Arabidopsis thaliana: one gene and its partners. The protein of the gene in region 1 interacts with the protein of each later gene in a pairwise test. Each region holds a gene or a part of one and is shown in the gene's direction. Other genes may lie near its edges.

Evidence for each region.
Region 2: the proteins of MLO10 (region 1) and AT3G13410 interact in a protein complementation assay, tested with the Arabidopsis thaliana proteins (one large-scale study listed by BioGRID).
Region 3: the proteins of MLO10 (region 1) and CNGC10 interact in a protein complementation assay, tested with the Arabidopsis thaliana proteins (one large-scale study listed by BioGRID).

The regions. Positions count from the first base shown.
Region 1 is NC_003076.8:26,385,038-26,393,435, reverse strand, and holds MLO10 (Seven transmembrane MLO family protein), read left to right. Parts: upstream 1-2,668; 5' UTR 2,669-3,028; coding exon 3,029-3,229; intron 3,230-3,299; coding exon 3,300-3,357; intron 3,358-3,427; coding exon 3,428-3,612; intron 3,613-3,688; coding exon 3,689-3,805; intron 3,806-3,877; coding exon 3,878-3,938; intron 3,939-4,011; coding exon 4,012-4,100; intron 4,101-4,203; coding exon 4,204-4,278; intron 4,279-4,353; coding exon 4,354-4,442; intron 4,443-4,521; coding exon 4,522-4,571; intron 4,572-4,654; coding exon 4,655-4,695; intron 4,696-4,766; coding exon 4,767-4,940; coding exon of another isoform or gene 4,941-5,046; coding exon 5,047-5,082; intron 5,083-5,201; coding exon 5,202-5,269; intron 5,270-5,360; coding exon 5,361-5,421; intron 5,422-5,522; coding exon 5,523-5,927; 3' UTR 5,928-6,008; downstream 6,009-8,398. Other genes in the region: AT5G65980 (Auxin efflux carrier family protein), read right to left, coding at 1-180, 271-392, 484-608, 687-766, 858-992; AT5G65960 (GTP binding protein), read right to left, coding at 6,239-6,699, 6,884-7,012, 7,193-7,520, 7,612-7,747, 7,829-7,889, 7,957-8,023.
Region 2 is NC_003074.8:4,360,144-4,367,813, reverse strand, and holds AT3G13410 (2-C-methyl-D-erythritol 4-phosphate cytidylyltransferase), read left to right. Parts: upstream 1-3,497; 5' UTR 3,498-3,676; intron 3,677-3,762; 5' UTR 3,763-3,781; coding exon 3,782-3,903; intron 3,904-4,036; coding exon 4,037-4,139; intron 4,140-4,235; coding exon 4,236-4,295; intron 4,296-4,479; coding exon 4,480-4,542; intron 4,543-4,666; coding exon 4,667-4,867; intron 4,868-4,970; coding exon 4,971-5,082; intron 5,083-5,172; coding exon 5,173-5,384; intron 5,385-5,572; coding exon 5,573-5,665; 3' UTR 5,666-6,179; downstream 6,180-7,670. Other genes in the region: AT3G13430 (RING/U-box superfamily protein), read right to left, coding at 1-60; AT3G13420 (uncharacterized protein), read right to left, coding at 1,508-1,630, 1,979-2,363, 2,626-2,819, 2,999-3,091.
Region 3 is NC_003070.9:130,387-139,205, reverse strand, and holds CNGC10 (cyclic nucleotide gated channel 10), read left to right. Parts: upstream 1-3,281; 5' UTR 3,282-3,498; intron 3,499-3,883; exon of another isoform or gene 3,884-3,936; 5' UTR 3,937-3,989; coding exon 3,990-4,018; exon of another isoform or gene 4,019-4,087; coding exon of another isoform or gene 4,088-4,101; coding exon 4,102-4,624; intron 4,625-4,704; coding exon 4,705-4,917; intron 4,918-4,999; coding exon 5,000-5,295; intron 5,296-5,453; coding exon 5,454-5,565; intron 5,566-5,666; coding exon 5,667-5,903; intron 5,904-5,987; coding exon 5,988-6,382; intron 6,383-6,461; coding exon 6,462-6,792; 3' UTR 6,793-6,936; downstream 6,937-8,819. Other genes in the region: AT1G01355 (Putative endonuclease or glycosyl hydrolase), read right to left, coding at 1-3, 92-343, 428-609, 665-693; AT1G01350 (Zinc finger (CCCH-type/C3HC4-type RING finger) family protein), read right to left, coding at 1,236-1,358, 1,448-2,271, 2,390-2,474; AT1G01335 (auxin-responsive endogenous peptide protein), read right to left, coding at 8,348-8,470. UniProt on the Arabidopsis thaliana protein: Probable cyclic nucleotide-gated ion channel.

The DNA.
Region 1 (8,398 bases):
TTGTTTGCCTTGGATTTCAAGGTCTTGGTTTTGGTGCGGCTTGAGGAGAAGAGCGTGGGGATCAGAGTCGATGTCCTTGTTGGGAGACTTGACCAACCCGGCGGCTTCAAGAGCTCTAAACTGTGTAGCAGAGCTTCTTACCAGTTGGTAACTGTACGTCCATATGTAGAAACCCCCGAGCTGCCCTTGACAAAAATTAATCACACGATCAACTCAACAATTAAGTCTGAGCAGAGATCAGAAGATCATATGTATGTATGTTTGACTTACGGCCATAGAGAAAGATGCGTAGGAGAGCCCAATGGATCTGCAGACACTACGATTCCCAAAAGGACTGCCTTCCTCGTCACAGATGGCAGGGACCAGTATAAGCATAAGGTTCCCCATATTGCCTACGTAGACAGGACAGTAAATATGATTCATGTGAGAATTCAGGGATATATCTCTCCTCCTTGAGATTAAATTTTGAGGTTTTAATGTTACCTGAGGCACAAGTAGCAATTATGAGGCCATGAAGTTGAGGTTTGGGGTTCAGTAGCTTGACCACCAACCATCCAAGAATGCCTCCTACTAGAAAGGTGATTCCAACATTTATGGGCATAAACCACCTACAAAACTAATTTTGGTCAAATCAAAGCCACACGTATGTATTCTCAGAGGGATGATAGGAGACTGGTAGTGCATACCATGAAATAATGTCCTGCAATGTGACAGTCTCGGCAAGGTTGGCAAACATGATGCAGGGGGTGAATACCACGAAGACGAGCTGCGAGGGAAAATGTTTGTTAGTGATGATATATGAATGCATGCATAGTTGACACCAAACAGAAAAAAGAAAAGCAGAGACGGAGGTTGACCTTGTTCACGGATCTTCGGGTGTCAGCAGAGAGAAGAGAGCAGTAATCGGTTGCCAAGAAAGCGCCAAGGACGCTGATAAGAAGAACTTGAACGATTGGCATTGAAGCCACCTCCAACAACTCTAAGAAACCCATCCCTAATCTCTTCTTTTTCTTTTCTTTTCTTTTTTTCTGGTTTCTTGTAGAAGAAGAGAAGCAGTCAAGGTTAAAGATATAGAGATGAAAGGTTTGATATTTGGGCTGTTTGTGTAGATGGAGAGGATTGGTGGGTATATATATTTAGATTAAATACGTATAGGAGTGGGGTACATGAAGTGTAAAAGAGGAGTCTAACTTTTCAACATAGGAAAAGTCATGCAAGAAAGGTGAATAAAAAGGACAAGTTGGCCTCTAGGTACTGTTGGTCTCTCAGGTAGTGCATATGCAAAATCACATAGATATCAAAATTAGAAGATTCAATATTGGGACGAAAGACTTTTGGGATTGTCTCAGGTTAATAATGTTGACAGAATCAAAGTAAGACTCATCGTCATGCTGTAGCTAAATTGCTCCCAGTATCTTTCTTTCCAAATATTTTTATATCTTTATTTCCGCTTTCTTTTTCTCTAGCTAGAGAGATGTATTTAAACTATCCATGGATATTCGAGCACATGAGTCACAACTAACAAACTAACATTTTTCAAAGTGGCCAAACTTGACCTTTTAATCATAATATTATTTGTCTTTATCACCTAACATAAAGTCACGATACAAAACATCTCTTGAATTTGACCCCCAAGCTGATTGCTATGCCAAGTCCACAATGCTCCTCATAGGCTCATACTCTCTACTTTATTACAAATATCAATAAAAAAAATGTCAACTGTGATATGTGTGACTTTCACAAGCCACTCTGCTAAGTTGACTGATCCCAACCCTGCACATATCACATATGCACACATGGAAAACAGTTGCATTGTAATTTGGGGAAAATAATCTCATCCTGCACATCTCCTCTGTTTCCTCTTTACAACTCCACAGTATCTTGTTCGAATTTATTTATCCAATCAAAAAATAAGTGATATGCTAAAAAAAACTTGTGGGATTAAAACCAAGATGAGGAAGAGGAAACCGTCGTTTGCTTGTATGTCTCGGAGAATTACGTGTGCTGATGATTATAATAAATTAAAAGTAAGAGAGTCAAATATTTGTTTAAACAAGAAAACGGTAAGAAGGATGAGACCAGGTTTTGTGGTAGAACAAGTCCGGGAGATAAGATAGTTGCGTGACTAGGAAATGGCGTGTCTACACAAGGGCACCTTTTGATTTCGATCATATAACAAAGAAGTAGATAGGCCTAAAAGAGCCCATGGTATGTATGTATGAGGCAGCTATTGTGAGGCCTATATATGGGCTTAGCTCATTGTCCATTTGTTTCCAAATTATTCATATGATCAACGATAGATGATCAAATGAAGATATATTTCTAATACATTTAGTTTTATCATTGTCAAAATATATATTTCTACAAAGAAACTTTACAACATGATCGGATTACGTGAAACTAAAAAGAGGGAAGAAACTTGATAGAGACAAAGAGGAGCCTTTTGTTATAATCATATTAGTTATCCCAGGCTGAGAAAGTGATGATTCCTCCATGCATTTAAAAAATTGTAGGTACATAAAGAAAAGAAAAAATAAATAAAGGTGGTAGATAGTGGAGCAACGGCCAAGAGTAAGATAACATTCTATATCTCTAAAGTTGCAAGTTGGGTTATATTTAACTAAAAGTGGAAATACTAAAAGGGGAAAGCAATCATAAAAGCATAACCAAATAGTCAAACTGACGAGTGTGTTGGACGATTCTGTTCTTCTACCCCTCTGATCTCTCACAGGGGATCAAATTGTCATTTAGTTTTGATATATAGAGCCACAACAGTGACATTAGTTTGTTGTTGACTACTGTAAGGGTTGGGTTTCGAAAAGAGACATGGAGGAGTGTTATTAGGTTGATTGTTCTCAAGTACCTCCAGTGTCAAACAAACATTGACGATTGATTCTCTTCCCATAATTTATTGTTATGCATTACATATCACAGTAAACGGACTTTCAGTCAACACCGCATTTATTTGCCCTCTTCATTGTTTCACGTACGTAATCAAGGACCAAGGGATTTTCTTCTTTTGGCTACCATGGCCACAAGATGCTTTTGGTGTTGGACCACTTTGCTCTTCTGCTCTCAGCTGCTTACCGGCTTTGCCCGAGCTTCCTCTGCAGGCGGCGCCAAAGAGAAAGGACTCTCCCAAACTCCCACCTGGGCCGTTGCCCTCGTCTGTACCTTCTTCATTCTTGTCTCCGTCCTCCTCGAGAAGGCTCTTCACAGAGTTGCCACGGTTTGCCCTGAATTCCCTTTTTTCTTTCTTCCTTTACTTCCGCCCTCTAAACTTTTATTTTATTTCTCAGTGGTTGTGGGAGAAACATAAGAACTCTCTGCTTGAAGCCTTGGAGAAAATAAAGGCGGGTAAGACCAGAGAATTGTTTTCTCCTACCGTATTTGGTTAAGAAAACTAAGATATATGAAATGGATGCAGAGCTGATGATTCTAGGATTCATTTCCTTGTTGCTCACCTTCGGAGAGCAGTACATTCTCAAGATTTGTATTCCTGAAAAGGCTGCAGCCTCTATGTTACCTTGTCCAGCTCCTTCTACTCATGACCAAGACAAGACCCACCGCAGACGTCTAGCTGCTGCTACGACCTCTTCCCGCTGCGATGAGGTCATCTCTAGCTTCCCTTGTACTAAAAAATTTACGCTCTAGCTCTATCTCTCTAACACTTTTTTGTTGTCCGCAGGGTCATGAACCACTCATACCTGCCACGGGTTTGCACCAGCTACACATTCTATTGTTCTTCATGGCTGCCTTTCATATCCTCTACAGTTTCATCACCATGATGCTTGGCAGACTCAAGGTACGACAAGCCCTGATTTTCTTATCTCAAACTTTCGTAATCCTAGCTATTCATCATTTTCTGTAACTGCAGATCCGTGGCTGGAAAAAGTGGGAGCAGGAGACATGTTCTCATGATTACGAGTTTTCAATCGGTAGGCGAGTTCTTGTTCATTAAATTAAACCTTTGTTTTATAGGTCACTAAAGTGGCTCCTCTCTATGCATAGATCCATCAAGATTCAGACTCACTCATGAGACGTCCTTTGTTAGACAACATTCCAGTTTCTGGACAAAAATCCCCTTCTTCTTTTATGCTGTGAGAAGCATGCATTTACTTCTTCTTGAGCATGCCCTCGTGGCATCAAGTTTGTTGATTAAAAATTGATTTTTGCTCGCTCTCTCAACCATCTGATTTACAGGGGTGCTTCCTACAGCAGTTTTTCCGATCTGTAGGGAGGACTGACTACTTAACTCTGCGCCATGGCTTCATCGCTGTAAGGCAAAACTCAATTCTCTCTTGTATTTGCCTTCCACTAATGGTGTGATGCTTATGGGTGAGTCTCCTTTAGGCCCATTTAGCTCCAGGAAGAAAGTTCGACTTCCAGAAGTATATCAAAAGATCATTGGAAGACGATTTCAAGGTGGTAGTTGGAATAAGGTACGTAGCACAAAACAGTGCTAGAGCTAGTACTGCGTTGAGAGGTGTTTGTTGACATTGCTGATACTGTACTGTGCAGTCCTCTTTTGTGGGCATCATTTGTAATTTTCCTACTTCTGAATGTTAATGGTGAGTCAGCTTTGCATTTGCTTGCTCTTTTACCAAGCCATTGGTTATTGTTCTACTGAATAAATAATCCCATTCCTGTTTAGGCTGGGAAGCATTGTTTTGGGCGTCAATCCTACCTGTACTTGTAAGACAAGTTATACTCTTGAGCGAATCTTATACTGTGTTTGTATGTCTCATTTTTACAACCCCTTGCAGATCATTCTAGCTGTCAGTACGAAGCTTCAAGCGATCCTAACAAGAATGGCTCTGGGAATCACGGAGAGACACGCAGTTGTTCAAGGGATACCTCTCGTGCATGGTTCAGATAAGTACTTTTGGTTTAATCGCCCTCAGTTGCTACTTCATCTTCTTCACTTCGCCTTATTTCAGGTACTTGCATTGTTTTCAGTTCCAAACAAAACTACCATTGCATGTTACATATACTTGTCTTCAACTTTTGTGCCATGCTGTCTAAATGCTCCTTCTTTTTGTATAGAATGCTTTCCAGCTAACATACTTCTTCTGGGTCTGGGTAACAACATCTCTCTATATTCTATGCGCAATACACTAGTTGTTTGCCTTTTGGACCATGTACATATTCTCTTCTATTGATACAAATGACTTGATACATTTCGTTAATTTGGCATGCAGTATTCCTTTGGGCTAAAATCTTGCTTTCACACGGATTTCAAACTAGTCATCGTAAAACTCTCTCTAGGGTAAAATTTATTCTTATTCTTCTCTAGTGAATAAACTAATAGATATATCTCTCTTGGAACGATTAGCTCAACAAGTTTGATAAATTTGCAGCGTTGGAGCTTTGATTTTGTGCAGCTACATCACACTTCCTTTGTATGCACTAGTTACTCAGGTACATTTATCCTAATTTCAGCCTTTACTCTCCAGATATTTGTGTCTACGAAGCTATATAGTAGTAACTAAGCAACAAACTTATGTTGTTGTTGTGGGCAGATGGGTTCAAACATGAAGAAAGCTGTGTTTGATGAGCAAATGGCAAAAGCGTTGAAGAAATGGCACATGACTGTGAAGAAGAAGAAAGGCAAAGCGAGAAAGCCACCAACAGAGACCCTTGGTGTTTCTGACACTGTCAGCACCTCTACCTCATCCTTTCACGCCTCTGGAGCCACTCTACTCCGCTCCAAGACCACTGGTCACTCGACAGCCTCTTATATGAGTAATTTCGAGGACCAAAGCATGTCTGATCTTGAAGCTGAGCCATTATCCCCTGAACCAATAGAGGGGCACACTCTCGTCAGGGTTGGTGATCAGAACACAGAGATAGAATATACTGGAGATATTAGTCCTGGAAACCAATTCTCCTTTGTGAAGAACGTTCCTGCTAATGATATTGACTAATATTCAAAATGAATGCAGAACAAATCCATCATCCGGTCTTTATTTTCTATTACATGTATGCCAACAATTGCTTCGCCAAGTGTTACCAACTAGGTTTTCTGTATAAGGCTGTATTTTAGAGCTCTTACGTATCTAAAGAAAAAGTAAAGCGATACATAACAGGTCGGCCCAGATAAGTATTACATCGTGCAACTGACTATTACTGCCAGAATCTATCAAAAAACAAGACACGGACTTTGATAAAGATTGTATAAAGAAAGGATTAAACCGTAGCTCACGCTGATCTTTTACAATATCTGATATAAACAGACTCACTCAGGTTCTTCCTCGTCATCAGTGTCACCTCCAAACATGGAAGCCATTTTCATCGCTAAATTTGCAGCTATTTCCCTCCTCTGGAAATCAGGCATCAATCGCAAGTTGTCCCGGATGTTTCCTATTTCTGACATCAACTGTTCCACATCTTCAAACTCGTAACATTTTTCATTTTCTGTGCCCAAAGGTTTTTCATCTGTTACTATTGCTCTGTCAGTGTCATTTTGCAGCTCTAACCTTGACCCTGACGGCAGCAGCTCTTCATCAACTTTATTCGGTTTCACCATACTATTTTCTACATGGAGGTTTTCCTGTGAAGTGGATCCGCCAGCATCGGCATGTGAATGCGTTTCACTTGCAGAAACCCATCTTTCTTCAATATTATCCCATGGATCACCTGAGCCTGCTGATAGCACTTCATACTCCAATTCATATTCAGATTCTTCTTCTGACAACTCTGAGAGGAAATATAAGACCCAATCAACATGAATCCAAGTGGAAATGAAATGTCCTCACCAGGATTTCTTATCTGGGTCGAGTTTCGGTCTACCACTTCCTGGTCGAACAGAAACTCTAACCGGGAAAGGACATTTCAGGAACTCATACATATATGGGAGAGGAAAGTGGAAGAAACAATTAACCTTCCCCTTGAGGTAACACAGGTTCATTTATCCTATCACCAGATTTCAGAATCATCCCAGGCCACATATGAGCCGAAAGAGCACCAAATAGACGTTCAACCCCTTGAGAATCCCCATCGACTGATAAACCTACAAGGACCAACCCGTGAGCCTCATTAATGCTAGAGAGACGAATACGCGTATTCTCTGCTCATCCATTTTCACTCACTTTTCATTCACAAGTTCAGTAGAAGCTATACAAGGAGTAACCAGATTACATTGGGCATATTGCAGTCAATATATAATCAGAAGGAAGGAGATAGAACTTACACTTGTCAAAATCAGGATTAGAGGCACAAGCCTCAATGAACTCAATGTTATTCTCAGAGCACCACTCAAGACATGCTCCCCTGATATCTAGTGATGCATCTTCACTTCCCAACAAGCTGCTTCCTTCAGTTTCGGAGATCCCAAAGTCATCAATGTCCGAATACAGATCTCTAGAGGGGTCTGATGCCTTCAAAAGGCGCCGTCTATATTCATCATGAGCAAGGTGATGAGGGACACGATCTACTTTGTTACCAATGCACAACAATATATCAAAACTGTTGATGTCAGTATGAGAAACCCAGTCTTGAAGAGCAACAAGGGTTGACAGCTGCAAAGAATCGGGTAAAAAAGGGTTATGCAGGGATGGTAAGGTGAGAAGAATGAAGCGTGTATCATCATCATCATCATCAATGTCAAACCTCACTCAAGTCGAAGACCATAACTAACGCCACCAGTGGATGTGAGTTAGGGAGATTGGGTAGAGAGTATTCATCGCAAATATGTGATATACATACAGAAACATCCGCAGTGTAATACTTAGTGTTAATCGTCCAGCTGCCCACATTTTACAGAGAGAAAAAAGTGTTCAAACGATGAAACTTGTTAGGGTAAGAAATTCTTCAGTACTAGACGTACCCATGAACTTCTGTTTGAGATGATGACTCCGATGAATCCTCAAATTCCACAGAGAGCAATCCTGTGATTGATTACATATTAGAGCAAAACAAAATTTTGAATCGGATCCGAGAGGGAGAAGCGCGTACGAGAGAGGAGGGTGCGCTTGCCGACGCCAGAGGATCCGACGACCAAAACTCCCGGTCGGCTTTCCATCAATCTTCTCCAACTTCGCCCGCCAGTGATCAAGATCCAATCTAAACAGATGCTAATTCTGATTTGTCGTCAAGTGAGAAAAGGCAAACCCAACGTCAAGTGATAATTTGAAGCCCAAATATCAAAAGGCCCAATACAACGAAATATTGAATGTTTTATCTGCGTTAGCTTGACCATGTATGGTCGTTTTAAGCACACACACACTTTTTGCATTGAAAGAAAAACAGTTGCCACAAAACACATCTCAAAACAGATTGTGTCCTAATCCTATGTGTCTAGTTTGGGTTCTCCAAAAAATATCCATTATTATCAACAACAGAAGGAAAAATGAAAATACAACATAGGCGACACTTCAGGATCAAAATTTACCAAACT
Region 2 (7,670 bases), on another chromosome or scaffold:
TGGAATCACCGATCGGGAGCACATGTGACACCAGTAGCTAGTCTCTGATGCATCTTCCATAGTTCAATCCTTCCTTGTTCAAACTCTCTCTGCTTCATAGCCAAATAAAACACTGAGATTTAAACCAAAGGTTTCTTCTTACGAAATGCAGAAACGATATCGAACCCTAGCATCAGAGACTTGATCAAACCAAACCAACCAGAGATAATAAAAACAGAGAAATCAAAATCAAATCACGAATCATTTTACTAATCAAAACTCAATCACGGAAGATTTGTAGAGATTAGAGATTTCAAACGAGAAAATTCAAACAACAAAAAACCTAGAAATCAAAAACATCACAAACCTCTTTAATAGGAGAATCGGGGAACACGGTTTATTAACTTACCTCTTGAAAATCAAATCAACGAAAAGTCCGAAGAATATCCAAAAGGAACAAATAGTAGACGAAGAAAACAGTCGAGCGACAAAGGACCAAAAATTCAGCAGAAAGGGATCATCGCCGAGAGGAATATTTTGTGGGTAAGTGTCTGAAAACGGCTGGAGATCCACGCAGACTTTTTTGAGTCTTTGACCCCTTTTTCAAAATTATTAATCTAATCAAATCTCATCTTAATAATAGTCAGACCGACGTGGATAAGTAAGTTATACCAATTTTTATAGGTCAAAGAATTAATTTGCACGAAACTCCTTGGCTACTATTAGGCCCAATTAATTAATTAGTACCGCAACTTCGCAATTCACATGGGCCGGTGGTTCAACATTAGGCCCCATGCCACGCCATATTCATCATTCATTTAATCATATGAGTTGGAGAACTCGAGTCAAATAGAGAGACTAAAATGGCTGGAATCTGGCACCAAGTTAGTCTCCTCAAGTTGTCATTAGATCTTATAAAATGATAACATTATGTTTATATCTGTTTCTTCTATTCTCTTACGGATATTACAAAGAATATTTCCCCATAGGCAAATCATGTTGCTACTTTAAAAATCTGCAATAAAAACTTCACTGTTTACCAAACATTTTGGATGAAAAAACTATCTTTGAAGTTTATACTAACCCTCCGATTCACCTATTTTTCATGTACAGAAAAGAATGCTAATGTACATTCGTAGTCCAAATAACCCCAATTCTATACAGTTCCGAGTAAAATGAATGATGATAAAGGCATTGTTCTTGCTTGTTATCCACTATGTAAATCTCGGATCTGGATTCTTCAAATTGAAAACAAAGAATGGCCTTAGAATTGTTGAATGAAGTTGCTCGTGACAAAAGCTATCTTCCTGCAAAAGTGAGTTGGAAACTGCCAGGCAAAAATGATAAAAGCTGAGAGCAGTGCTGCAAGTAGTAATGTAGATTGACAAACACATGCAATTTACTGAGTCCAAGGATATACCAAAGCAACAAGTGTTCTTTCTATGTCTATAAAAAGGTCAAGTGTGAAAGTTAACCTAACCAAAAGCAAGGTATAGTATAGTACCGTCCACAATCATTAGATGTTCTATCAACAGAGACTAGAATGAAGTGCTTCTAAGGATCTGGATAGAGGAGACTTCTTTCGAGAGGCTTCTGCAGCAGATGATTGGGATCCTTTGTAAATGTCTCCAGCTGAATGGTGCTTAATCACCTACAAAAGGTTGAAAACCCACTTGCTATGTCTGTGTAAGTTTTAGAGGAGTACTGAGACAAGAAAAGCAGCATACTATGATGTAATATCAATACTATGTGGCCTTTGTTTGTTAGTGAGAAACAAGTTTCACCTAACCTAGAGTGGCAAAGAGCTAAAAAGCATGGTTGGGTGATCTAGATAGTTCAATCCAATTCTCACTATATTGCATACAGTTTCAAAAGAAAGGTCCGAAAAGAAGCATCTGGAAACCCAATTGGTAAAACCATAGACAAACCAAGTATAAAAACCTCAACTACAATGAGTACACAAACAACTTAAGAGAAGAATAGGTAGAAATAAAAAGACCTGTGTTGCATTGGGCAAAGTGATATTGCTTAGGCCGCCATCTAACAGAGGAGTGTAGGAGGCAGGTTCGTCAATAGAATCTTCCAAGATTTCGTCAGAACGTGAACGTTGCTTAGCTATAGCAGGAGCCTGTAAGAAGCTATTTCGTAATTCTGGATCACGTGAACGTTGCCTAGCTAAAAGAGGAGGTTCTAAGAAGCTATTCCGTAAATCTGAATCTGATTGACGGGGAAATGGAGAGTCTATAATAGAAGCTCCCAGCCTATAGATCTGAAACCATAACAGAGAGGACGATAGCCTCACAACGAACCCAGCAATTTCCATAGCCAGGGTGAGTTTCACAGAGAAGATGTAAAAGACTTGATACATATCAGATGAAATGTTCCTGCATTAACAATTAAATCTTTTGTCAGTTATAGGCAGCAGATGAATACTGGCTCAACAGAATCTAAACACGACATAGCAAAGATTTGCAAAAAAAAAGGTTTAAAGATCAATCAGTTCAAAAAGATGATGAGCCAATCAAGAGAAATTCAGGACAGTTTACAATATGTGATGCAATGAAAATTAAACAAGACAGAGCAAACTCTTAAACCAAATATTTGATCATGATCACAAGCACGGCTGTTCCAAGGATAGTGACATACCAAATCTCTTTGGAGAAGAGAATGAACCATGAGACATCAAGAAGAATGGCGCAGAAAAGAAGAACCGCATAGGTTCTGCCAAGACTTTGGCTATTACTCTCGATTGCTACTAACCCAAATAACGCAATCGCCAAATTTATCAGCACGACTCCATTGTACAATGCCCCTAGTGAACCGATCAACGCGCACCCTATCTGAAACAAATGATTCATCAATATGAGTTTCTTGCACTTCTAACCACAATTAAAAGAATAACAAACAAATATCGACAGAGAAATCGTAGAACCCTAATCCCAAACAGATACGAACAATTCACGAGAAAAAACGTGAAATCGGAGGAAATGAAACAACTACAAAGCGATTACGGATTTACCTGAGCATAGATAAGAATCAAAACGACAGATTGGAGCCTAACGTAGTCGCGAAGCCAATTATGTATTCGATTTCGTAACGAAACACAAAGCATCGTAAAATCTCAACCTCGCAGCTCTCGTTACTTGTTACTTCAATGGACTTTCATAATACAAAATGGCTCGACGATTCTGATGCTAAATTGCAATTTTCCGGCGAACGAAATCGGTGAATCAAGAGAGAACGACGATTTGAGAATTTTCGTGAGGGAGAAAGTAAAGAGTGTCTTTGGCGGGATCGCGTTGCAGAAGAGGCAACAAAATAAAAAAATGAGGAAACGAAATATTCCGTTCAATCGTGACGAAGTTATTATAAGATTTAAGGAGGTTTCCGTTTCTTGTCCAGAGTGACGGACGCTTAACGGAGTCACGAAATTTTGGGCCGTATTGGAAAATCTTTAAAAGCCTAATCAAGCCCAAAACTTCAGACCGGTTAATATCTGAACATAACCGAAACCGGTTATCTCGGTTAGCGATTTTCGTTTCAAAAACGACGCCGTTAATTCCTTACATGTCGACTACTCATATGTGTCGCCCAGATTTGAAGATCGGAGATATGAATCTCTTCTTTCTCTGGATTTGAAAGTTCGATAAAAATCTACTGATACATCGACTTCTGGAAGCGATCTCGATCTCTCTAGGTTTGTGATTATCTTTGAATTTGCTGATTGTTTCGTTAGGCGTGAGGAATTGTTCGATTGATTTTTTTTCCTTTTGTCTCCGGTAGAATTGTTTCGACGACGAAGATGAAGAAGATTCAAATTGGTGCGGTGGCGCTATTGGTGTTTCTATCTGTGGCCTCTCTCTTTGAAATCGGATTGGCTTCTCCGAACACAGTTCCTGCTTTCCTCTGGTCTCCGCATCTCCAGTTATGCATCTTGTTTTCTCTATAATTCTCAATTTGATTGATGGAAATGTGTAAAAAGCCTGGGACTTGTGATATCTGATGTGAGTTAGCTTAGATTACTGGGTTGATTGGTTTATGTGATTCTGAAAATCAGGTCTGCTAATGGTGAATTGGATGAGGCTGTAAATTATCAGGTCATGTCTGCAAAGGATCTAGTTGGTTCTGTTTTCACTCAAGGAGGTTGGTCAAACTTTCTGGTATGGTTTCTTCTTCATGATCTTATGATTTCAATTCTACAACTCACTGGATGTCAAATGATTTTTCTTATTGTCATTACTGTCTCCTTTGTTTAGTGCTCAGAGAAGAAGCTTGAGCAACCTGTTGATGTTGCACTTGTGTTCATAGGCAGAGAGGTAATTGAATGATGTAGTATTGTTGTTTTAACATTAGCATAAATGACCTTGTGGATCTTTGGTTTCTTGTTGTGATATTGTAAAGAAACTGATGTTTTAATATTGCGGGAAATTAATCGTCTTTGCTCTGTATCTTCTGTGTTATGCTGAGAATTCTAATATTCACGTTCTCTTCCGCCTGCAGTTACTGTCTTCTGATGTTTCTTCAAAAAGGAACTCAGATCCTGCCCTTGTTAACACATTGAATGTAAGTGCAAATTTTCTTTTCTTCAACAAGAAATTTCGAAATTGCATCCGTAACACAGATCTCTGACATAGTTGTTTGATATAAAGTTTACAATACTCTAACATCCAAGTCTTTGTTTCAACAGAATCTATTTACAGCTTCCAACTTCTCATTGGCATTCCCATATATTGCTGCTCCAGAGGAAGAAAGGATGGAGAATTTGTTACTTTCAGGGCTTAAAGAAGCTTGTCCCAACAATGTAGGAGTCAGCAATATCGTGTTCTCAGATTCGTGCTTTGTTGAGGATGGAACAATTCAGAAACTTTCAGACTTGCAGTCTTTCAAAGTAATACTCATTGCTCTTAAGTTTTTATTTTCCCTAATCCCATGCCTTCCCAGTGTTATCACCCCCTTAACTTCACTTTCTAATACTCATTAATAATTGACAGGATCATTTGCTTGCTAGAAGAGAAACAAGGAAAGAAGGAGAAACTGACTTGGTTGTGCTCTGTTCCGAGGGTTCTGAATCGAATAGTCAAGCTGGACAGTCACATTCAGAGCGTAAGTGGAAAGATCATTACAAAATAATACTAACAATTAGATATCATTTGAGAACTAGGAAATTAAGCAATTCTTTGACCTATTCTGCAGGTGAAAGCTTCTTGGAACTTGTTAGTTCTGTAGAACAATCCGGCAGTAAATATACAGCTCTTTATGTTTCTGATCCTTATTGGTACACATCTTACAAAACTCTCCAAAGGTTTCTAGCTGAAACTGCTAAAGGAAACAGTACTCCTGAAATTGCTACTGGCTGTGATGAACTCTGCAAATTTAAGTCATCACTTTTGGAGGGCATACTAGTGGTAATTACTCTTTTTACTCGTGTTTTTTTGGTATTCATCGTTCTCAAGAAAGATTCATAAACATCATAGAATGGACAAGTTTAATGAGCATCTTGGTCATATCTAGCTGGAAGATAATTTAATTCAATGTGTTAAAATTTCGTAAAAGCCTTTGATTATGTCTCGTCCTTTTCTTTTTCTTTTTGCAGGGAATCGTTTTTCTTCTCATCTTGATCAGTGGACTTTGCTGTATGGCGGGTATCGATACACCGACTAGATTCGAGACTCCTCAAGATTCTTAAGCTGTTGACCTTAAGAGCCATCCCCACCTTTTGCTTTGCTTTTGACGAGTCTTTTCTTGTGCATAGTGCGCATTGTGGAAGGTACTTCAATGTCGATTTGTTACATTATTACTTCAAAACAAAATCTGCATATGCCATAAAATCCCCTTGTATCATTTATTCATCTTGTTTGTGAGTCTTTCTTAAACGTCATAAATTAATAATGGAGAACGAGTAAAAAACCAGAGATACATACACTGGAGAACGGATTACATTCTTTTTCAGAATTTTTTTTGTTTCTTTTTCTTAGATTATATTCCGGAGTTATCGTGCTCATAGTATCGTATTCATATCAATTTGGGGATTCGGACATAGATTTTCTGGAAGAAAAAAACTCAGGACAATAATGTCGGTAGAGTCAGAGTGGTAGGACATGTGTGTGTACCATCACTTGTATAGATAGATAGAAAGATAGATATAGATGATAGTTTTGTGAACAATTAAGAAAATAGTAAGAATACATATATAAGTTTTGTCATGCAACATGCAATTCTAATCCAAATTTAATGTTTGCCTCGGCATGTTTAGTCATTATTAAGTAATATCGATTGAGCAATTAGCAGTTTATAATTTATCTAGATAGACCTTTTGTTTTGACTATTTCGTTGATTTGTTCCATGATTCAATACTTAGCAAAACATCTTCATATGTTGGGGTCCTTATGGTCCCTGCATGGACCTATTGACAAAGTCATAAGATCAATCTTTCAGATTCTTTGATTGACCTCTCTCTCTCCATAAAGAAGCGTATAAAGAATCAAAATGACCGAAAACGATGGTTCTATTCATCTTTTCCCCACTATACATACTCCTACATTTATTCTAACATAACACTATTCGTATCCCTGTTTTTTTCAAAGTTTATACTATAACAAATACATGACTGTATTTGTCTAATTACGAAGAAGTTTCAAAAGCATCATTTATGAACAATGTTTATCTTTTTTTTTCTTACACAAACATTTATAAAAAATCATGTCACCATGACATGTAGCTTAGTTTTATACTAGCGATATTTTTGTGTCATCGTCCGAATTAGAATTTGCATATAATGCATATTATCGATAGAATTTATACGACTTTGTTTTCTATACTGCCACATAATTGAAATTTAAAGATTAGAAATATTACGTATAGGTTTTTTATTGAAAAAAATATTTTCAGTTTCGCACAAAAATATATGTAAAAAACAAATAGAGGGAAGCACATGAGACATAGGGGTTTGAGCCAAAAGAGCAGTGAAAATCCCATCGATCTGCCACTCCACCAACTGACATCACATTGTACCCATTTTCTTCTTCTTTTCCTCAACTATCCATTTTTCTTGTTTAGACAGACACCCCCGCAAATATTTATTACCTGAACTATAACAACAACCAAATTTTGAAATATAAAGAACAATGTTGAACTAACAAATTTGCTTCATCTTTTATTTGCTTTAGCTTTCATACGTAAAATCTCTTGTGGCGTTCACTTCAAATTTTATAAAAAAAAAAAAAAAATTATCTTCTGTTTAACAACATATGACATCTTAAATTGATATTTTAATAATAATGAAAAACTATAAAAATGTACGGCCACGCAAAAGTGACCTACTCGAGCAGGTCCTTTTTTGATCTTTTCGATAACTTTGAGATTCCAAGTGCTGATTTCTGTGAATTTTTGTATATATATACACACATATTTTTGTCAAAGAAACAATATATATATATATATATATATATATGTATATAACTGACGGTCTCTATTTACCGATTACTTGTTTATAAATTAACTTATACGGAGTATAAAATATAGATGTTTATTTAATAGTGCCCTTTCGAGTACCTGTCGGGATAACTAGCTAGGGTTACACGTAAATGTTGAGATTCTTTCTTCTTTTAAAAATGTTTACGAGAGTCCCTTTTTCTCTCTTTCTACACACATTTATTTCTCTCGTGAGTTATTTCTTAGTAAGTCCTAAAATT
Region 3 (8,819 bases), on another chromosome or scaffold:
CATCTGCGTCCGTGGAGATAACTAGGTCAGACACAGCTTAACTATTTCAACACTGTACTGAGTGTGAGAGAGAGAGAGAGAGGACAAGGACCTGCTGCTGGTAAGCTTGCCAGTAAGCTTTCCCAGAGGAAAGACCCTGTAGAAGGGGAGGCGGAGGATGCGGCTTGTTGAGGATCATCTGGAAGAATAGACCGAACAGTGTTGTATCCGATCCTACCTAGCATGTCAAGAGTGGTCAAGTAGATATGCTCGTACGATATGAGCATTAAATTAGCCGGAGGTTGATTATACCAGGTCCACTTAACCACAGCCCACCCAATCCCTGAGAGAGCTGTTTCGGAAACTATAAGACTTAAAAACAAAAACAAAAAGGGCAAATAGAAGCAAAACCCTAATTTTAGAAAATGAAGGATGAGAAGATATAAACCGGTGGGAACGTGATGAAGAGCGATTCCAGAGGAATGGACTTGTCTGAGGAAGTCATGAGGGACGTCTGTTAGTATCCCAACGGCAGTGATGGTGAGAGGACCAGAGTAGCCTAATTTCTCCAAAGCCCGTTTTATACACGGACCGACCCTGCGAACATCAACGTCAGCCGGAACCGGACACCTGTTGATGTCCCACCAGACGCGTGTTACAGCCTTAGACTTTGGCACGACCTCACCCACAGGCCACAGCCTTCGCCTTCCTCATCATTCAAGACTTGGAAAATCTAGAAGATCGGAAAGCCAGAGAGAAAAAAAGAGATGAGAACATTCGATCGAACCTTGTAGGACAAATAATTACCTGTTCAGATGCGTTTTCTACCCCATAGAACTACCTTGTTACCGCTACTTGTGGTGTGGTTTATTTATGGGCCGATTCGCGTTGCCCATTAACTGTATCTTAGCGCACGGGCCCATTAGATTAAAAAGTTTGGTAAGGAACTTTACTTTTGGCCTGTTTATTAAACGACCGCGTTTTCAATTTGGGAAGCAAATTTCTATATCAAAATATGTGAATCAGGATATCGAGTTTGACGACTATTATTCTGACGATGATTTACTAGGAAGTTGACTCCAAAACTCTGATTCAATTTTCAGTTTGTTTAAATTTAAAAGTTAATCAGTTTGAAACAACTATCGTCGTCATCCGAATGAATATATATAGGCCAGTGAGTACAACAAAACAAAAAGCTTTCCTCAAGTAAATAACCAAATATAGTTTTTGCCTTTTTGTCCAGTGAAACAAGGACTTCACAATCCTTGTTCAGCTTTACTCCGTTCTTCAGCCATTCTCTTCTTGATCTCATGTGCTGCATTGAAAATCCCCATTGTTGGTTGGTTACACACAAAGCACTTCTTGTTCTTCGTGTGATGCTGCATCATTACATTAAACAAAACTCGCTAGTTTCACACATTTCTTCACAACTAAAAAAAAAACAGACTCGTAATTGTGATGATCATACCTTTAAAGCACAATGCTCACAGAAGTAATGCTTGCATTTGGTGACAACTGGATCAACAAAAGGCTCCCTGCAAATGAAGCAAGCAAAGGGCAATGCATTTTCGTCTTCGTCGCTATCCTTGTCAGCCTCATCATCTTCATCCTCAACTCCCATAGCTTTATTTCTCTTCCTAACTTTCTCTGCTTCTTCCCACTCTTTCTCTATCTGCCATCCTGGTTTGTAATCCCCACGGTCATGCAAGAACTTACACGAATCTCCATATCCACAGTATCCGGTTTCTTTGTAATCCTTGCAAATGTCTGGCTGGTAATCGAATCTAGCCGACACTCTTATGTGAGCAGAAGCTCTTAATGGCCCGTGTGAGCCTCCAGCTTTCTCGCTCGAGATTGTTTGTTCTCTTCTAAACCCAGCTTTGTGATCTGTATATCCATGAATTCCTTTGTACAGCTTCTCATCAGAAGCCTTTTTCTTATTCCCTTTCAATGCTTCGTCTGCTTTTTTAAGAACTCTCTCACGGATAGCTCGTGCGTCTTGATTGAAGTCGGTCTCAGTTTCAAGGGTTGCTGTTGCTCCACTGTCGTTCTGAACCTGGATTTCCTTGGATGAATCGTAGTGAAAGACGGACCTCTCAGGAGCTCCACTCGTTGTAGTAGAACTCTTAGATGGTCCAGAAGAAAAGTATAACTTGCTATCGGGTTTTGCAACTTTCTTTAGATTTTGTAGAATAGAGCTTTCGCTTTTCGAATCTCCGTCTTCTTCATCAGCGTCAATGGTTCTTTTTCTTATGTTTTTACTTTTCGTTGGCTTCTTGAAGAAAGTGCAAACTGAAACAGAAGAATGATTTGATTAGTGTAAATGAAAATTTCTAGCTAACAACGAAGAACAAGAAAAAATCTCAATGAGACGACAACTAGAATTGAGATAGAAGGAAGTATATGTAACCTTGTTGAGACTGAGTTTCTTGGGCAGCAGGTTGAGGTAGAGGTTCTTCTTGCTGAGAAGGTTTAGGCTCACCAGAATCTGACATAGTTAGATATAAGACTATGTAACAAACACAAATCACCCACTTGTAATTTGCTGCTTAGTGTTTCCCTGCAAAATTCAAGATTAGTATTAAGTCAATTTCCTGAAAACTTGTAAATTTGTTTGCACTGAGTCAAACAACAATTTTATCAAAATTTCTCCAGATTCAGTTACAATAATAGACAATGCAACATAAAAATGATCACCTGAATTCTTCCTAATTCATCTACGCGAGCTCACGAATAAACCCTAGCTAACTATCTATATCGGTGGCAATTTCATTCACAGTAGATAAGGAAGCAGAAATAGAAGCTCCAGACAGATCAATCCGAAACACAGTTCGACAACTCGATGTGTCAACGGAAGCTACAAAATTTGGAATCTAAAAACCCTTTGAATTGATTGAAATTGGAGACAAAAGCTCGAACAACACTAAAGACTAAACAAGAACGAAAAGTAGATCAAAAGTATGGAGATTAAACACAAGGAAGAATATGTTACCTTAAAAAAAAATCTAAAAATCGACGCCGGTGAGCTACACCGTCAAAAAGAACGACGACGCCGTCCGTATTTTCCGACAGAAAATAAATCAGTGTGAAGAGAAAAGAAATAAGGAACATATGGTGGGGCGGTTACTTCATTTTGGGTCATGAATCTAAATGGGCTCAATATTCATAATGGGCCCGGTACTTAAAATTTGGCAACTTGCTTATTCTCGCCGTCTGACTTTGACCAAGTCATTCATCTGAATGAAATTGTTTTATGAAATGATTTTCAATTGAACAGACTTTATAATATTTAATTGCATAATATTCCTCTTTCCCTCCCTTTTTGTCGTATAATAAAATTCTCATATACTACTTTTCCAGGAAACAATATACAGAGAGAGATACAAGTAACCGCCATATGAGTCTCTCTCTCTTTCCAGCGACGACGGGACCAGTTGCTTGAATTGAAGAAAACGCCGTTCACCGACTTCCGTTTATTAGCCGAATCTTACTATCTCGCCGTTACCTACTTCGTTTCAGGTTAGTTTGATGATAGAATTTTGATTCCGATTTCCGTTTTTGTTCTTTTTCGTCTGAATTTATTTTGCTGTTTCTCAGAACCGAAACGCTTAGATATATGTCTTTCGTTTATGGTCAATGGTTTTTTGAAATTTGGATTTCTTATCTTTGATGAACAGTGTTTTTAAGTTGTTCGTGTGGTTTCCATTTATTGAGCAGGAATGGGTAGGAATTACAGGATTTGGTATAATCTAATGTTAGGTGGAAATTGACTGATTCTAGGTTCTCTAATTAACCTTTTCAAGAAAGAAATATTTAAAAACACATACACACAACACAATTGTATTTGTAGTTAGGTGTCTACTTGCTTATTTTTAATTGGTATTGGGGATTATCATTGTACGTAATCATGTAGAAGAATTCGTATGTCTTAAGTTTTGGTTCTTATTATAATGTTAGGACTCGTCACCCTGTAAGCGAAAGATCAGTTGAAATATACAAGGGTTTGGCTGATGGCATTTAGCCATGATAATCGTGTAAGGTTGGTAGTTACAGAAAATCTTGAAAACAGTTCATAGTTGAATGATTTTTTCTACTATCTCATTTTCTTATGATTTTGTTTAGGTTCAAAGATGAAGGCAAACCATTATCCTCTGAATATGGTTATGGAAGAAAAGCTAGACCTTCTTTAGATAGAGTTTTCAAGAATGTAAAATGGGGATTCAAGAAGCCATTGAGTTTCCCTTCACATAAGGATCCTGACCACAAGGAAACATCTAGTGTTACTCGGAAGAACATCATAAACCCGCAGGATTCGTTTCTCCAGAACTGGAACAAAATATTTTTATTTGCTTGTGTGGTTGCTTTGGCGATTGATCCATTGTTTTTCTACATTCCCATTGTCGATAGCGCAAGGCACTGTCTTACTTTGGACTCAAAGTTGGAGATAGCTGCGAGTTTGCTTCGTACGCTCATCGATGCCTTTTACATTATTCACATTGTGTTTCAGTTCAGGACAGCTTACATCGCTCCTTCTTCGCGGGTTTTTGGAAGAGGTGAACTGGTAGATGATGCTAAGGCAATAGCCTTAAAGTATCTCTCTTCTTACTTCATCATTGATCTACTCTCTATCCTTCCTCTCCCACAGGTAAATGACTAGTTTGATTACTTGTTCAAAATGTCAATGATCATTTCTTTTTGAATCCTCTGGCTTCTTAACTTTTGCAGATAGTAGTTTTAGCCGTTATTCCAAGCGTCAACCAGCCAGTCTCTTTGCTAACAAAAGACTACCTTAAATTTTCCATAATTGCTCAATATGTTCCTCGGATTCTCCGTATGTATCCGCTTTACACTGAAGTGACAAGAACATCTGGCATTGTTACTGAAACAGCATGGGCTGGAGCTGCTTGGAACCTCTCTCTCTATATGTTAGCCAGTCATGTGAGTTTCGGATCTTTTGATGACTGAATCTTTATACATGTAAATGCATATTAAAGGTTATATGTTAAACTTACTTATTCAGGTGTTTGGAGCTTTATGGTACTTAATCTCAGTAGAACGAGAAGACAGATGCTGGCAAGAGGCATGCGAGAAGACAAAAGGTTGTAATATGAAATTCCTCTACTGTGAAAACGATCGTAACGTTAGCAACAATTTCCTGACCACTTCTTGCCCATTTCTCGACCCTGGTGATATAACAAACTCAACCATCTTCAACTTTGGCATCTTCACTGATGCTCTTAAGAGTGGCGTTGTTGAATCACATGATTTCTGGAAGAAATTCTTCTACTGCTTCTGGTGGGGTCTTCGAAATCTGAGGTTTGTAAGACACACATAAAACTGTTGACAATAACTAACTAGCTATATTTGGAGATTTTAAGCCGTGAAATGACCTGTTTATATTTGCATCTTAAGCATATATATCTGTCACAATTTAAACAAGTCATCATTCTCACAAGTTGCTTTTGTTGTTGCAGTGCATTGGGACAGAATCTCCAAACTAGCAAATTCGTTGGTGAAATCATATTTGCTATATCAATCTGCATATCTGGACTAGTCTTATTTGCTCTACTTATCGGCAATATGCAGGTATTAGCCTCAAATAATCGCTTCTCATTTTCTGGACTTGTTCCATAATGCTACATATAAGTTACTCAGGACACGCATGTAATTTTTGTTTGCTGTTGCAGAAATATTTGGAGTCAACAACAGTTCGAGAAGAGGAAATGAGGGTGAGAAAGAGAGATGCAGAGCAGTGGATGTCTCATAGAATGTTACCTGAAGACCTGAGGAAACGTATCAGAAGATATGAACAATATAGATGGCAAGAGACAAGAGGAGTTGAAGAAGAAACCCTTCTTCGTAACCTCCCTAAAGACCTCAGAAGAGATATTAAACGCCATCTTTGCCTCGATCTCCTCAAGAAAGTGAGTAACAAGCTTTCTCTCTTTTTCTTCCATAAACTGAACTAAAGAACCCTCAGAATCCAAATTATATGATGTTTATGGTAGGTACCTTTGTTTGAGATAATGGATGAGCAGTTACTTGACGCGGTTTGCGATAGGCTAAGACCTGTGCTCTACACCGAGAACAGTTACGTGATCCGTGAAGGAGATCCTGTTGGGGAAATGTTGTTTGTTATGAGAGGAAGACTGGTAAGTGCCACCACTAATGGAGGAAGAAGTGGGTTCTTCAATGCCGTGAACCTAAAGGCAAGTGATTTCTGCGGAGAAGATCTTCTCCCGTGGGCATTAGATCCTCAATCTTCTTCTCACTTTCCCATCTCGACAAGAACAGTTCAAGCTCTCACTGAAGTCGAAGCCTTTGCTCTCACAGCTGAGGATCTCAAGTCTGTCGCTTCACAATTCAGACGCCTCCATAGCAAGCAACTCCAACATACTTTTCGGTTCGGTCACTCCCATCAGCTTCTTTGGCTCTGTTTTCGGTTTTGGATCTTCTTAACCGGATCTTGATTATATATACAGGTTTTACTCAGTGCAATGGAGAACATGGAGCGTGTCTTTTATACAAGCAGCGTGGAGGAGATACTGTCGGAGGAAGTTAGCCAAGTCACTACGCGATGAAGAAGATCGTCTCCGAGAAGCGCTCGCTAGTCAAGATAAAGAACACAATGCTGCAACCGTGTCGTCGTCCTTGAGCCTTGGAGGCGCTCTTTACGCGTCGCGTTTCGCATCAAACGCGCTTCACAATCTGAGGCACAATATCTCCAACCTTCCTCCTCGCTACACTCTTCCTTTGCTACCTCAAAAACCCACCGAGCCTGACTTCACCGCCAATCATACAACTGACCCTTAGATCTCTCTTGCATGTGTATAGTGTGTGGAATAAAGTGTAAAAACAATGGTTTGAACTTTGAACCAATAAAATGTAAAAAATTGTTTATCAACTAACAGAAATTGAAATAATGGCTGGCTCTTATGCGCCGCTTAACTTTGGCTACTTCAGTTCAGCATCACACATGGAGGTATAGTTAGAGACTCGATCTGATGATCAATGCATTGAGGAAAGTGGGAAAAGCATATTTAGCTTTCAAGCTAATGCATAGCAAAACTGGGGTTGGTTATGAGAGAATGGCTAGTGTTAGAAGGTCTGTCAGGTTTAGGACTTTACTTAAACTTGTTTTGACTCCCGAGTTTAAAGAAACTTTTTTGCGTTTATGTCTTTTCTTGAAGAAGGAAACAATCGAAAGTTTCCTTTTTATTTTGGAAGAACCTAATAATGAAAACCTGAGGGAGAATGCTAATCTCCAACAACATCTCACTCATTCTCTCTTCTTCCTTGAGAAATCAAAGCAAACCAACCAATGTTTCCTTTTGGTTTTGTTCGGTATAATATCAACGTCTCTTTCGTATGTCGGTTTTCAGTGTTTCCTTTTTTTAAGTCCCGCTCCTGTATAAAGCAGACCAACATATTGAGCTTGCGTTTATATATACTACAAGTAACCCTAGAGTACTTTCATCTCTTTTTTATCAACAACCACCTGAGAGAATGCTAATCCCCAAATTCATCTCTTCTTCCGTAAGATTGATCGGAGTGGAAGATAATGTTAAACCTTATCACTCTTCATGATCGTAAGATTAACCTGTTTTCGGAAAAATCTATTAATCCATTTCATTGTTCATTTTTATGGTCAACCAAATTATAATCTAGTTTCATGCTAAAATTTCGTATAGAGATTATCATTTCTAAAGAATGAAAGTTACATAATATTCAACATATGAATAATATATTTACAAAAATTTACGAGTGAAACGATAAATACATTACTTCGGAAAGGAAAAAAGAATTACAGAATGTATGGACAAATTGGCCATTTCGTTTGGTTACTTGTGGAATAGGATAACGGGAGGAGGCAGCTTTACGTGGTCCATCTAGCACCGTCTGATTGCAGTCAGGTTAAGAAAGTGTGCGGCTCCGATTCGTTGGAATACCCATTTTACGTGGGACCCATTTAAGACAAATGGTCCCGCATCTTTGTTTCTTCTTTCCACTTGTGACCCCTGCCATTGCCAACATTACTGGACGACAAAATCGCCTGCTCTCATTTTCTTCATACATAAAAAAAACCTTTATTTATTTTATTATGATAAAATTTGATTTTGCTTACAAAAACGTGTATGTTAAGAGTCCTTAATGTTCATTGTGATTAAAAAAAATTAATGATCAAAGAACGTGTGATTGTTTGAACTAATTATAGCTTGCTTTTATATGGAAACATACAAAAATATCTGGACCAACAAGCTCGTGCTTCAAACAAAATACACATTTTTGAGCCATATAATACCTAATAACGTGATTTCTTAGACTCTTTTAACTGGGCAGTTAAGTTACCATTTCTGCATTTACTTTTTTAAAAAACTGGTTCTGACGCAGAGAGCATGAATTTGTGATAGAAGTAGAAAGGGGCACAAATAGAATAATCCAAAAAGCAGCGAACAACAAGCCTATAAATAAGACAATCACTTAGGCCCATTAACGACTTTAGAGGCCCTAAAAGGTAAGAAATCAAGGTGAAACAAGGAAGGAAATTTCGATCAAGACAAAAATACGAAAACACCCATGTAAAGAGAAGATAATTACAGGAAACTGCCATGAACGTCCATAAAAAGCCATTCTAGCCATCTGACTATTGAATCTCCGCCCTTCCTTCCTTATCACTCTCTCAAACCTTTTTTTTAACACACTCTCTGTGTCTCTCTCTCACACCGTTTCTCCAGTTTCAGCTTTTCTTCGAACCACTAAACAAACTCTCTTATAAACTCTTTCTCATCCCTTATTCTCTTTTTAGAATTTTCATATATTTTTCTTCTGTTAGCTCCCGC